Linked DNA regions of Oryza sativa Japonica Group. The protein of the gene in region 2 interacts with the protein of the main gene of each other region in a pairwise test. Links are inferred from orthologs where the notes say so. Each region holds a gene or a part of one and is shown on either strand. Other genes may lie near its edges. The genes, in order: ARM REPEAT PROTEIN INTERACTING WITH ABF2, protein indeterminate-domain 16 and protein DROOPING LEAF.

Region 1 (3,325 bases), on a different chromosome or scaffold from region 2:
AGTTTGGAAGTCAATGCCCATGCATTTTTTCTACTTGAGCATTTCAAGTGGTAGCTTACCTAGAAAACTTGGGTGGTTGGTTCATCGAAATTTTAGTGTTCTCAGAATTCAGACATGCGAAGAGGTTAGTTACTTAACGGAACATTAGTGGACAACACGACACCATTTGCGCATTGCTTATGGGGCTTGGTCAGTTGGTTGATACTACTATACTAGTAGTAGTATTGTTCTAAATATCAATCGGCTGATATTATTGTTTCTATGTCAGAATATTTCCAAGAAGATCACAGAAGCAAACAAATTTAAATAGAGATACAGAAATTATTAGAGCAGGGCAGAAAAATAAATCCGGCTATTCTTCCGCCGAATATCCAGTGGGACAAAGACAACCGATTAAGCCGCTGACGAGATGGCGGCGCCTGCCACCGTATTTGTCCCCGTCTACCGACGTCAGGCTGGACCGCAATACAATCCATATGCATCTACTGCATATCAGTATATACATGGACCATGACGAGGGACAAGTTGGGAGAAAACGCCAATCTGATTAGCATTTCTGCATTGTTAAACAACACGAAGGAGACGAAACTGATTGCAACTACAGCACTAATACACAGATCGATCTTATCCTCTGCATCATCAAAGAGACGGACATACACGGAGCTCTGGACTGGGAAAGTGGCCCTAAACTCGGTGACTATGCCAAGGCGAAACGAAGTAAACCTATCCCAGCCTAGGCTGGTCCGAGACATGGCTGGCTAAGCCATATGCTCTTACCATGATTTGGGCTCTGTTTTAGTCGAATAAAAGGATGTTACAATGTTGTTGGTGCCATCGAATGCCAATGTCCAACGCCAGAAAAAGAAACTTTTAGCTGTACAAGATCTCCCGAAGCGACTGTCAGATGTGTGGGTGGTGTCAAGGATTGTGGAAGGGGCACGGACTCATGGCTGCGCATTCCTGTGGCTTGGCCTTAGCGCCTTAGCGAAGAAGTTGCGGAGCTCTGGGATGACACGCTGGATCAGCTGGCTTGACCTGCATTGCAAAATGGCATGGCAAATGATTTCTGTTACCTAAAATGAGTTACATAACACAAACATTTGGACCTAGGAACAGGACACTAGGTGAGGAAGTGTACCCAGATTTGACGCAAATCTTTTCAAACTGCTCCAAGATAAATAGGACACATGTATGTCTGAGTGACATTGCATGAAAAGCTTCAGATAGGTCATACATGTCAGAAACGTTGTCTACATTCACATCCTGCAAGGCAGATATATTAAATAAGACCAAGCCAGCATTTTGAGCATAGCATACAGGTAACAATCCTAATTACCTGCGCAATTGTATATTCACACAGACGTTTGAGGCCTTCTAATAGATACTGATCAGCAGCTCTAAGAAGATCCTGAGAGATATCGCTAGTTACTTCCACTGAACCTGTATAGATAAATCTGCATATACCAAATAGGATATTCAGACTCTAGTTTAGCAGGCATTTGCCCACAAACCAGAAAAGAATAATAACAATTACAGATATGTGCACAGAAGCAAAGCGTCCATGGCCAAGGAGGAAGAGAACTCAAAGCTGACTTACCTCATCATGAGTTCAAACACATTCCATCTGATATTTGGAATTTCTATGTCTCTCGCGTCCTTTTCCTGGTTAAGAAAAATAGTATTCGAGTCAAGACACATTGAGGTTCTTTAAAAAATGAAAAAATATACCTCAACAAGAATTGTTCCACTAAGAAACAAATCCACATGTACCAAACGAAAAAAGAAATGCTACACAAGACTCACCCTATATCCGCCATCAAACATTGCACGAAATGCATCCGAAGAAGCAAGTAATGCAATTCTATGTGCATAAAAGCGCTTTCCTGGAGACAACAGGAATATGATTTACATGGATTCTATGGAAAAGATCGAAGTATCTAAAGTGACTTTCTGGTGACAACTGGGTCCACAGATAAAATACCAACCTTCCACCAAGAAGGTAACATCTGAAAGTGTCGAACTGTTCACATATTGCTCACCAAGATAAACCTACAATGAAGAAAATACATTAAGTATCAGGGATTGCCAGCACTGTTGATGGACCAATTGCTCCAAATGATATATTCGAATCCAGCATTGCACAAACTAGGTTTTACTGAGATAACACCTTATTAATAGGACTGACTGCTAATTAGGAACAGACTATCCGGCATATAAATTCAGATGGCAGTATATCTGAATTCTATGTGCGCTATGCTCTGAAGGCTGAGGATAAAAATAATCCATAGAAATGCACAGATGCATACATACTGCCTGAGTGAATTCAAATCTTGCAACAACTTGGTCATGTCTGACAAAGTTCCTAAAAGTTTTGTCCTACAAAAGCCTAACAAAGGAAATAAATGCTTGGTTTGCTCAGAAAGCAGATGGCCTGAAGGTCACACATCTTAAAAGACATGAATGGGAAATCATGCATAGTGTTGACTAGGATGAAACGTATATAAATAAGTGTGAAAGTGTGACGAGGCTGTTGTGCAATTTGCGAGATGAAGCACCATTTATATCAGTATTTATGACAGATGTTTCTATTATTTAGTTTACATGAGCCATGGGGAATATCAGTCAATCATACTTCTAGAATTTCATGGCAACAGTTGTACCACCAATATCATGATAAAAACTTTGAAATTTCGAGGTAAGGCAACAAGAACATGATTAAAGGCAATGTTACCGCTACTGACGAGTCAAATAACACATAGGTCTTAAAAAACTATTATCATAGACTGCTCCAAAATTAACTTAAGATAGTACAAGTTTGAAAAACTGTTGGGTGGTTCAACTGAAATGTTACAGTATGTTATAAGTTATGTAAACTAATGTTTCTTTTTTCAACTTAAAACTAGCATTAAACTTAGCTATTAATATTCACATCCTAGTAACCCTAAGCTTCTTAATGAAATATTGGCGATGAATGTACAGGATTGTTCCTTTAGTTAATATTTTGCAACAATTTTCCGCAGCTATCACATAATTCGCACAACCAAGAAGCCAAGAATCTGTGTTGCATATTTATTTACAGCTATTATACATCCACCTCCAATTTCCTGTCAAAATACTAATCAAACAAGATTGTCAGCCAACAATTAGCTAGTTTTGTTGCATTACACAAATTTCCCCTAAACATGTACTGTTTTGTTTATTTCTAACAAAAAAACCCTTTTAATGCATTGATTATACAAAATAAAATCAATGCATGGGCATTACCACATCGTAGTTCAGTCCATATCACATTGAAAACCTTTTACATAGCACACCACAATCAACT
Region 2 (4,401 bases):
GGTGATCTGCAGCTGCGTGGCGTCGACCTGGCGTATGGCGTGGTCGCGGAGCACGTGCGCGCGGCTGAGCTCCACCTGCGCCTGGTACCGCATCCGCCGCGCGGTCGCCAGCTCCTGGTCGGCGAGCTCCGCCTGCCGCTTCGCCTGCGCGCGCGCCTCGTCCGCGGCCGCCTTCTCGGCCATCGCCAGACGCAGCTGCTCGTGGGCGGCCTCCTTCAGCCTCGTCGCCGAGGCCGACACCTCGCCGCTGCTGCTGCTGCTGTTGTTGTTGCCATCATCGCGTGCGCCGCCGAACCCGATCGAGAGCTGCAGCCGCATTGCGTCGGCGACCGGCTGCCGCGACGGAAGAGCAGCAGCAGGCGAATGCGGCGAAGAGGAAGCGTAGTACCCAACGGCGGTGGCAACTGGAGTACCACCGAGGCTGCCGCCTGCGCAGGTGGTGGTGGTGCGCGGTGGCATGAGCTGCAGCTCCAGGCTGTGGGTAGTGTGGCATCCTCCTCGCCGGCCACCACACGGCGTCGGTGGCGACAGCGCCGGGTCAGTGAACCGGTGGTGGAACGCCGCGATGCTACCGCCAGCAGGAGCCGGCGCCGCAGCACGGGGACTCACCATTGCCGGACCACCACCACCAGTAGCAGGCCAGGCCACCGGGCTCACCACCAGGTCGCTCGACGGGCTGGCGCTGGACGCCGTCCGCGACAACGAAGCCGGCACCGCAAAAAGCTGCTGCTGCTGAGACGACGATGCTGCCGCCGGCGCACCAACCACGACGCCACCGCCGCGTCCCGGGGACGATGACGCCTCGGCGGCGCGTGGCCTGCCGGCGTTGCACGCGTCCTGGTGCTCGATGAAGCTCTCCACCCTGCGCATCAACATCCACACGCCGCATCTCGTTAGCGCCACTAAAAACAACCCCCACGCGGCACCAAACAAGCGAGGTGGTACTAATAACCGGCAACATAAACAGCCAGAAAGAAAAGTCTCTAGCTATAGCTTAGCTTTGGATTACACTAGTATTCTATGCGCATGGGTGAGATACTGAGGCGGACGGAGAAGAAGCCAAGGAGGCGATCAGGGGGGTTTTGTCAGGCGTGAAATTTTGGGCCCTGCAACCAGCTGCTAGCAATAGCATAGCCTGGGTTTCGTGGCCGTGGCATTGCATTAAATGGAGCCCCTGCAAAGGCAAAACACAAGCCAAGCTAACATCAAAGCAATGGCCAGTGCCGTAGTATATGTATGATGCATACGCTACGCCCACACGGACGGCCAGGCCACAGCCACACACATCGATTGATAGCCAGGGCGTCATCGGGAATTGTGCCTGCAGAGCTCGCGCTACATTGCCACATCTCTCAGCTAGGCTAGCTACCTCTCTCTCTCTCTTTCCTGTTGATGCCACAATACTACTCCCCTCCTGGGAGTAAATACTCGTACCAGAGGATGGCATGAATGAATATAGATATGCTACTGCTCATAAAGGGTGTTGCTGATGAGGCCTACAATGGCAAAGCGACCCCGCAAAAATTCTCCAGAAAAAAATCATCACGCCTTTCTCGCCCGCATTTGACAAAGATTATTGCAAAGGAGAAGATTGTATAGTACTATCTAGGTGTGTAAAAGATTTGGAGCGATATGTAATTGGCATGTTAAATGTGAGAATATGAGATTAATGGATGCATGGAGATGCGGCGGCGGCGGTGGCGGTGGCGGTGGCCGTACCTGGAGAAGACGCGGCCGCAGTCGCAGGTGTGGCCGCGGGTGCCGCAGGTCTTGAGGTGAGCCTTGTAGTCGGAGTGGACGGCGTAGGCCTTGGAGCAGCGGGAGCACGCCCACTGGCGGTGGCCGCTGTGCTTGCGGCGGAAGTGCTTCTTGATGCCGACGAGGTCGCCGAGCGCGTGGGAGGGGTCGTGGTGGAGGCACGTCGGCTCCGGGCACACGAACACCCGCTTCCGCGCCGCCTCGCCGGCCTCCCGCTTCAGCAGCTTCCACGGCACCTTGTGCCGCCGCCGGTGCATCTGCAGGTTCTGGTCGCGCTGGAACCCCTGGTTGCAGATCTCGCACACGTACCGGTCAGACTCCAGCAGCGTCCTCGGCGACAGCGACACCACCTCCGCGTCCGGGTCTGCTCCCGCCGGCCGGCGACGCGCGCCATTGCCCACAGATGTGCTCGTTAGCTACCTCCTCAAGACAAACACCGACCGGCGCAAGAACGCGCGTACGTAGCCGGTGTAATTGGATGTGTGTATAGAGCTCCACTTACCAGGTGTCCCGGCTGGCCGCCGCTTCTTCTTCGCGGCGGCACCGGCGGTGGCGATCTGCAGAGACCGGAACGGCTCCGTCGCCGCACCGGACGCATCCTGCGGCGGCACGGCCGTCGGCGCGCAAGAACTCAGCATGATGTCCGCCTCCGCGCGCGCACCGCCGGTGACCACTCCCACCTCTTCCCTTACAACCAAGAATTCCCCTTCCTCCTCCAACCTAGCCAATCTCTCCAGCTCTGATCACACAACTCCACAAGAACGGATCAATGGAACCGAGCCGGATATCTATCTCTATATAAGCCACAACAGTGAGAGATCACGGGGCCACAGGCTTCTAGCTAAGGCGAGCTCGAGGAAGCCGGAGAAGAGAATAAACAAACGAAAAGGGGAGGAGGAGATGCAGTGAGTGAGTACAGCTAGGAATCGAGAGGGAGGAGGAGGAGGATGAGGAGCAAAGGTGTTTGGAGCAGTGTTGTTTTTTTTGGCTTTGCTGCTACACAGACAACACCAAAGGGGGGAGATGAGAGAGGAGAGGAGAGGAGAGGGGAGGCAGCTTTCTACCAGCTTTAGGTTTTAGCAGCTTTCTTTTAGGATTGTATCATGTAGGGGGTGTGTGGGGGAGGGAGGGGGGATGGCCGGAGTTGGTAGGTGTTTTATTGGGTCTTCTTCCCTGTCCTAAAACCGGTGGCTTTGCAAAAACGTTGCAATTGCAGCATGGATATACTCTGGGTCCGGCTACGGCTGGGTTCCAAATAAAAGAGGTTTTTGGAAGAGAGTACATATATTAGATACTTCCTCTGTTTTATATTATAAGTCGTTTTGACTTATTTTTAAGTCATAACATTTTTAAGTTTGATAAAGTTTCTAAAAAAATAAAAACATTTTTAACATAGAACAATCATTTTATTAAATTATATAAAATGTTAGTTTTAATGAAATTAATTATGTTTCTTAGATTTTTTATAAATTTGGTTAAACTTCAAAATAATTTATAATATGAAATAATATGAAATGGAGGTAGTGTGTATATATATGAGAGTGCACTAACTAAAATACAACATGCAATATAAATAACCTTTTTATATATAAAGGAATATATTTATGTGCAATATAAATATATATGTGCGTGCTAAAGACCATAGTTTATTTTTTAAAATAGAAAAGGGGTACATTTGCTTGGAGGGCATGCCACATATGCTGTGCAAAAAAAAAATATTTTCCATTTATTTATTCTTATTTCTGTGTTATTGGAATTATCAAATCAAAATATTCGATGCAAATACGACATCAATACCTAAAATATAAAGTATATAATTTTTTTTGCACGGTCTGCAATGTATAACTTTAACCATTAATTTCATTCAAATACGAACCTATTAATGATGGGAGGTGCTCTATCGTGAAACGGCGTTTGAGCTCATTTCCCTTTTTTTTTAAGAAAAAATGTGGGTGTGGCTTGCTTTTTTTTTTCTTTCAAAACATAGTATAGGCATGAGCGGCGCACACACCTTACCATTGAAGACTAGTCATGTATATCTTGAGATTGATAGCGTTACCACATGTCTCACTATCAATGAATACGCACTACGCCGGACCAGGTCATCTCTGACGGGCCCAAACCCTCACCTTTGACGGGTTTGGTCTTGGTCAGTGATTAGTGGTCACTGATGACAAAATCACCTGTGACGGATGAAACACCCGTCACAGATAACCCATCTCTGACCGGTATATAAGTCATCTCTGACGGGTTAAAACTTGTCACCCGTCACAGATGAGTCATCAGTGACGTGTCGTAACTACCTGACCGTCACTGATGACTCATCTCTGACGGGTTGTAACTTACGACCCGTCACTGATGACAGGTGGCGGCCCATCACCTCTGACGGCTTCTAATGTATCGGCCCGTCACAGGTGAGGGGATACCAGTGACGGGTTGGAAGCAAAACTCGTCACTGGTATACCTCTGACGGGTTTTCCTTTCGGCCCGTCACAGGTGAGGGGATACCTGTGACGGTCCGCGGCCGGATGGCTCACCGGTGACGTTATCCCGTCTGACCCGTCAGAGGTAATGGTCACTAGTGACCAAATCGTTTGCCCGTCACAGGTATCCCGTCAGAGGTGTGAGGATCTGGCGTAGTGA
Region 3 (4,113 bases), on a different chromosome or scaffold from region 2:
CGAAACTTTCTCCCAAAACAGGTGCAGATCTCATAGAGTTTATAGTACAGGACAAATAAAAAAAATATTGAACCACTACTAGCTCCCTCAAAAAAAAACTCAGAACAAATAGAAAAAATATATATAAGATCACATGAGTGCAAACCATATTAGGGATCACAAGCATATATATAAGATAAATGCATGGACAAATAGGTAAATAGTTTCTCACCTCATGAAGCGGTTGTAAGCAGATGGGAGGCGGTGTTTCTTCTCTGGGGCTACAATGGAAGACATAAAAACATTTGTCAGAGGAAACACAAGATATGCTAGCTAGCTGTTTGTTCATATTTATATATTCCATGTGAACACAAGACACAGAGAGCTAGTGAAGGACTCGTCAGAAGAAGACAGTTAACAATTAGCAAGAAACTAAGGAGAGACTGAATGACTGATATAAATGAGCAGTAAGCAAGCAAGAAATTTAATTAGAAAGATATTGATATCTACTCTAGCTGGTATATATGCACGTGTATGATATAGCAAGTGAAGTGTGCATATAGTTGCTTTGCTACTTACGCTTCACAACGAAGGGTGCTCTTGGGCTACCCTCATTTGATGTCGGCGAGACCAGCGGCAGCGGCTGGTTCCTCCTGCAGTCAGTGCAAGGTCCCTAACACCAAGAAATATCCAACACAAGAAGCAACCAAGGTTAATTACTAGCTTCCAGCTCTAGCACATTTCAAGATCTCTCAAACGCTTGCCATGCATGGATCAGTGTAGTAGTAGTAGTAGTAGTAGTAGTAGTAGTAGTAGTAGTTGGATGATGATAAAATCATCATTTCCTAACTATTTTCTCAGATCTCTCTCTCTCTCTCTCTCTCTCTCTCTCTCTCTCTCTCTCTCTCTCTCCCTCTCTCTCTCTCTCTCTCTCTCTCTCTCCCTCTCTCTCTCTCTCTCTCCCTGCTTGGGTAGAAGTAGCTATACTAGTCAACTCGGAAAACAGGCAATGAATGCATCTTTCCACACCAAAATAAAAAAAAAGAAGTAAATAAATAAAAATGCAGGTTTAATTTGGAGAGGCATGAATGCCACAGTAGAGCAGCTGCTAGCAGCATATGCTGCCTGAGAAAAAAAAAAGATGAACTGGCCGGCCGCTTTTGCAGCATGAGGCTTTCCCAGGCCACAGATGGGCAAGAGAGAAATCTTTTGCAATCCAGCTTTGTTTAATCTTGCCTTGCAAACAGTATTCTGAGTGGCTCCATAAAGCCGAGACAGGACACAGAGAGCTAGAGAGAGAAGGGAAAAGAGGAGAGAGAAACCGAACAAAAGAACACCCCAAAGCTCTGCTAAACCATATTTCATGAGAAAAAAAAGTCCCACTCTCCATGTGCAATTAATAATTTCTTTAATTATATGTCTTCCCTTTCTTGTATAAGGAGAAAGATTTATCGCCAGCCTTTCTCCTCGCAAGAAGCTACCCATATGCAGAAAAGAGAAAGTAGCTAGAAACAGCAACACGAGAACTGAAGAAGATCAAGACGACGAAGAAGAAGAAGAAGAAAGAGGAGGAAAAATATCAAGAACTGCAAGGAGATTCAGAGAAAGAGAGAGAGAAAAGAATGAAACGCTAGCTTAATTAGCTAGAGGAGAGGACTGACCTGAAACGGGCCCAAGGGGTGATCAGTTGGGGAGAGCGGCTGCACCATCGGCGGCCGCGGGCTGAGGAAGGAGAGGTTGTTGCAGTGGCCACATTTCACGGTCACGGTGTCCATCAGCCTCTTGCATGGGACTCCAACCTGCAGCTACCCAAAAGACGAAAAATTAATTAATCACATCATGCAATTAAGCCAATACTTTCTTCGTTAATTTCATCTCTTTGTTGCATGGCACTGTCCTTAAGGAGAAAAAGTAGAGGAGAACAGCATATCTGTGTGGAAGGAATCTAGATGGAGCAAGCAAATAAAGTGGGATATGCAAAACAGAGAGGGAAAAAGAAAAGGAAGAAGAGAAGATTCAGTAGTACTTGTTTTTTAATGGAAGAACAGAAGATGCAGGTACTACTAAATTGGATTCTTGTCCAGTTTAAAAATGCAGCCTGCAGCTGGTAACAATGAAAGAAGGGGATATAATGGAAGCGAAAGATGGAACATGACACTGCGAGAGAACCAGCTGAGTAGAACATTCTACCACAAAGCATCATATCAAGAGCTATGGCCAATGAATTTTATCTAAGAAAGAAAAAGAGAGCTAGCCAATAAAACACCATGCAGGAAGACAGCAAGGGCACATCAATCACGTGTCATGAACAATCCCCAGTGGAAGTTTCCACTAGCTTAGCAGCTAGCTCCTCAGGACACAGAGAGAGCAAGCAAGAAGCTGGATTTGGTCCCAGCTATCTAGCTAGCTCTCTCTCACTGTGTCCTGTGTGAGAGTAAGCATATGCCATGATGCACATTAAGCAAGCCAAAGGATTGGACCAAACCAAAGTGAGAGCCCTCTCTGCAATCTGCAGCAGCAGGAGATCACGAGACAGAACCAACACTTTGTTCTTTGCTCTCTTGTCCAATTCAAAAGATAACCAAAGAACGAAGGCCATGGTGCAGCTGCAGCTAGCAGCAGCATATATCGATCGTTCTCTGCATGCGAAGCTAAGCCGCTGCTCCGGTTTCTCGAGGAGTTTACCGCGAGCACGGTGTTGCAGTAGGTGCAGCGCACGTAGCACAGGTGCTCGGACGGCGACACGAGATCCATTGCGGCGGCGACGACGGCGGCGACGGCGACAAGCAAGCTAGCCCTAGCACTGAGGCGGAGGAGGAGGAGGAGGAGGAGCAAGTGTGAGCGGTGGTGCGGGGGAATCAAGGGCAATAAGAGGAGAAGAGGCCGGAGGAAGAAGACGGGAAGGAGGAGAGAGAGAGAGGGGGGGGGGGGGGGAGAGTTGGGCACAGCGGGAGGAAGGATGGGGTAGGGTTTCTATTGTTGCAATAATGGCGAGGGGGTCCCACGCACACATGGACCCCGTACGCACGAGACCAACCACAGTGATCGGGAGAGCGAGCACCAGAAAAGTTTTTATTTTTCCTTTTCTTTCTTTCTTTCTTTCGAGGCAAATGTTGCAAGCAAAGCTAAGATAGATAGCGAGATGAGATCCATGGTTGGATGGATGGATATATCAACATACACCGCTCTATCTTGTCGAAACGAAAAAGAGAAACATCTTTTTTAAAATGGTAATTTTACCATCATTAAAAAGATACCTAGAGAACCATATTTACTAACGTTTAGTATCTCGATATTTTCTCAAGAACGGTAAAATTTCTCTTTTTGAAAAAATATAGAGATGGTGTGTAAGAAGCACGGGATATTCTCTTATAACGTGTAGAAAGACTTTTTCATGTACGTATATATGTGTAACTCAGCATAGTGATCTGACAGGTCTCTTCTATCTCTCTCTCTCTCTCTCCATATGTGTACATGTACACTACACATCGTAATATCATATGCATCTCGAGGCTATGGGAACAGTATATGTTTGCTCCTATAGCTAGCTATAGCATATGCTTACAGTAACTAGCTAGAGTGGTGTCCATCCGATCCGGTGGCGAAGCCACAGTAGTACTACATCCCATCCAGTTGTGCCTTGTACTGTGCCCTCAAATTGTGAATGGTCCAATTGCTCCCTCTCTCTCTGACTCGGAAGATAGTACCGGTACTGCTTGACATATACCCCTAGCTAGCCAGGTTCCTAATTAAATATCTAGGTGTTAGTTCTCAGAGCACCTAAAATAATCTCTGCAGTTTATAGATTTTTGAAATGTTTTTTGAAAATTGAAATATCTAGGAGTTTCTTTTTTCTATGGAGGATCGGAAATGAAACTTTGGAGCTTGTGTGGTGTGAAATCTTTAGAGAATATCTTCCTTAACTGGCATTTGAGTTGTTGAGGAATGTAGTAGGTTTCTCAGTTTTATTTTGTAATTACTCCCTCCATTTCATATTATAAGTCGTTTGACTTTTTTCTTAGTCAAAATTTTTCAAGTTTGATTAAATTTATAGAAAAATATAGTAGTATTTTCAACATAAAACAAACATATTATTAAAATATATTTAATGTTCGATTTAATGAAACTAATTTG

The links.
Region 1: the proteins of protein indeterminate-domain 16 (region 2) and ARM REPEAT PROTEIN INTERACTING WITH ABF2 interact in binary tests that used the Arabidopsis thaliana proteins (3 or more experiments, as listed by UniProt). The link is inferred for Oryza sativa Japonica Group from reciprocal best matches to the Arabidopsis thaliana genes SGR5 and ARIA.
Region 3: the proteins of protein indeterminate-domain 16 (region 2) and protein DROOPING LEAF interact in binary tests that used the Arabidopsis thaliana proteins (3 or more experiments, as listed by UniProt). The link is inferred for Oryza sativa Japonica Group from reciprocal best matches to the Arabidopsis thaliana genes SGR5 and CRC.

What each region holds. Positions count from the first base shown.
Region 1 is NC_089039.1:19,470,142-19,473,466, forward strand, and holds the end of ARM REPEAT PROTEIN INTERACTING WITH ABF2, read right to left. Parts: intron 2,050-3,325; coding exon 1,986-2,049; intron 1,884-1,985; coding exon 1,804-1,883; intron 1,663-1,803; coding exon 1,598-1,662; intron 1,455-1,597; coding exon 1,337-1,454; intron 1,264-1,336; coding exon 1,139-1,263; intron 1,036-1,138; coding exon 945-1,035; 3' UTR 526-944; downstream 1-525. UniProt on the Arabidopsis thaliana protein: May act as a substrate-specific adapter of an E3 ubiquitin-protein ligase complex (CUL3-RBX1-BTB) which mediates the ubiquitination and subsequent proteasomal degradation of target proteins.
Region 2 is NC_089042.1:23,109,592-23,113,992, reverse strand, and holds the start of protein indeterminate-domain 16, read right to left. Parts: upstream 2,866-4,401; 5' UTR 2,397-2,865; coding exon 2,261-2,396; intron 2,123-2,260; coding exon 1,720-2,122; intron 863-1,719; coding exon 1-862. UniProt on the Arabidopsis thaliana protein: Transcription factor involved in inflorescence stems gravitropism, probably by regulating starch accumulation in amyloplasts of graviperceptive cells. Required for stem circumnutation movements. Regulates lateral organ morphogenesis and gravitropic responses.
Region 3 is NC_089037.1:6,087,450-6,091,562, reverse strand, and holds the start of protein DROOPING LEAF, read right to left. Parts: upstream 2,835-4,113; 5' UTR 2,734-2,834; coding exon 2,665-2,733; intron 1,785-2,664; coding exon 1,641-1,784; intron 653-1,640; coding exon 559-652; intron 261-558; coding exon 212-260; intron 1-211. UniProt on the Arabidopsis thaliana protein: Transcription factor required for the initiation of nectary development. Also involved in suppressing early radial growth of the gynoecium, in promoting its later elongation and in fusion of its carpels by regulating both cell division and expansion.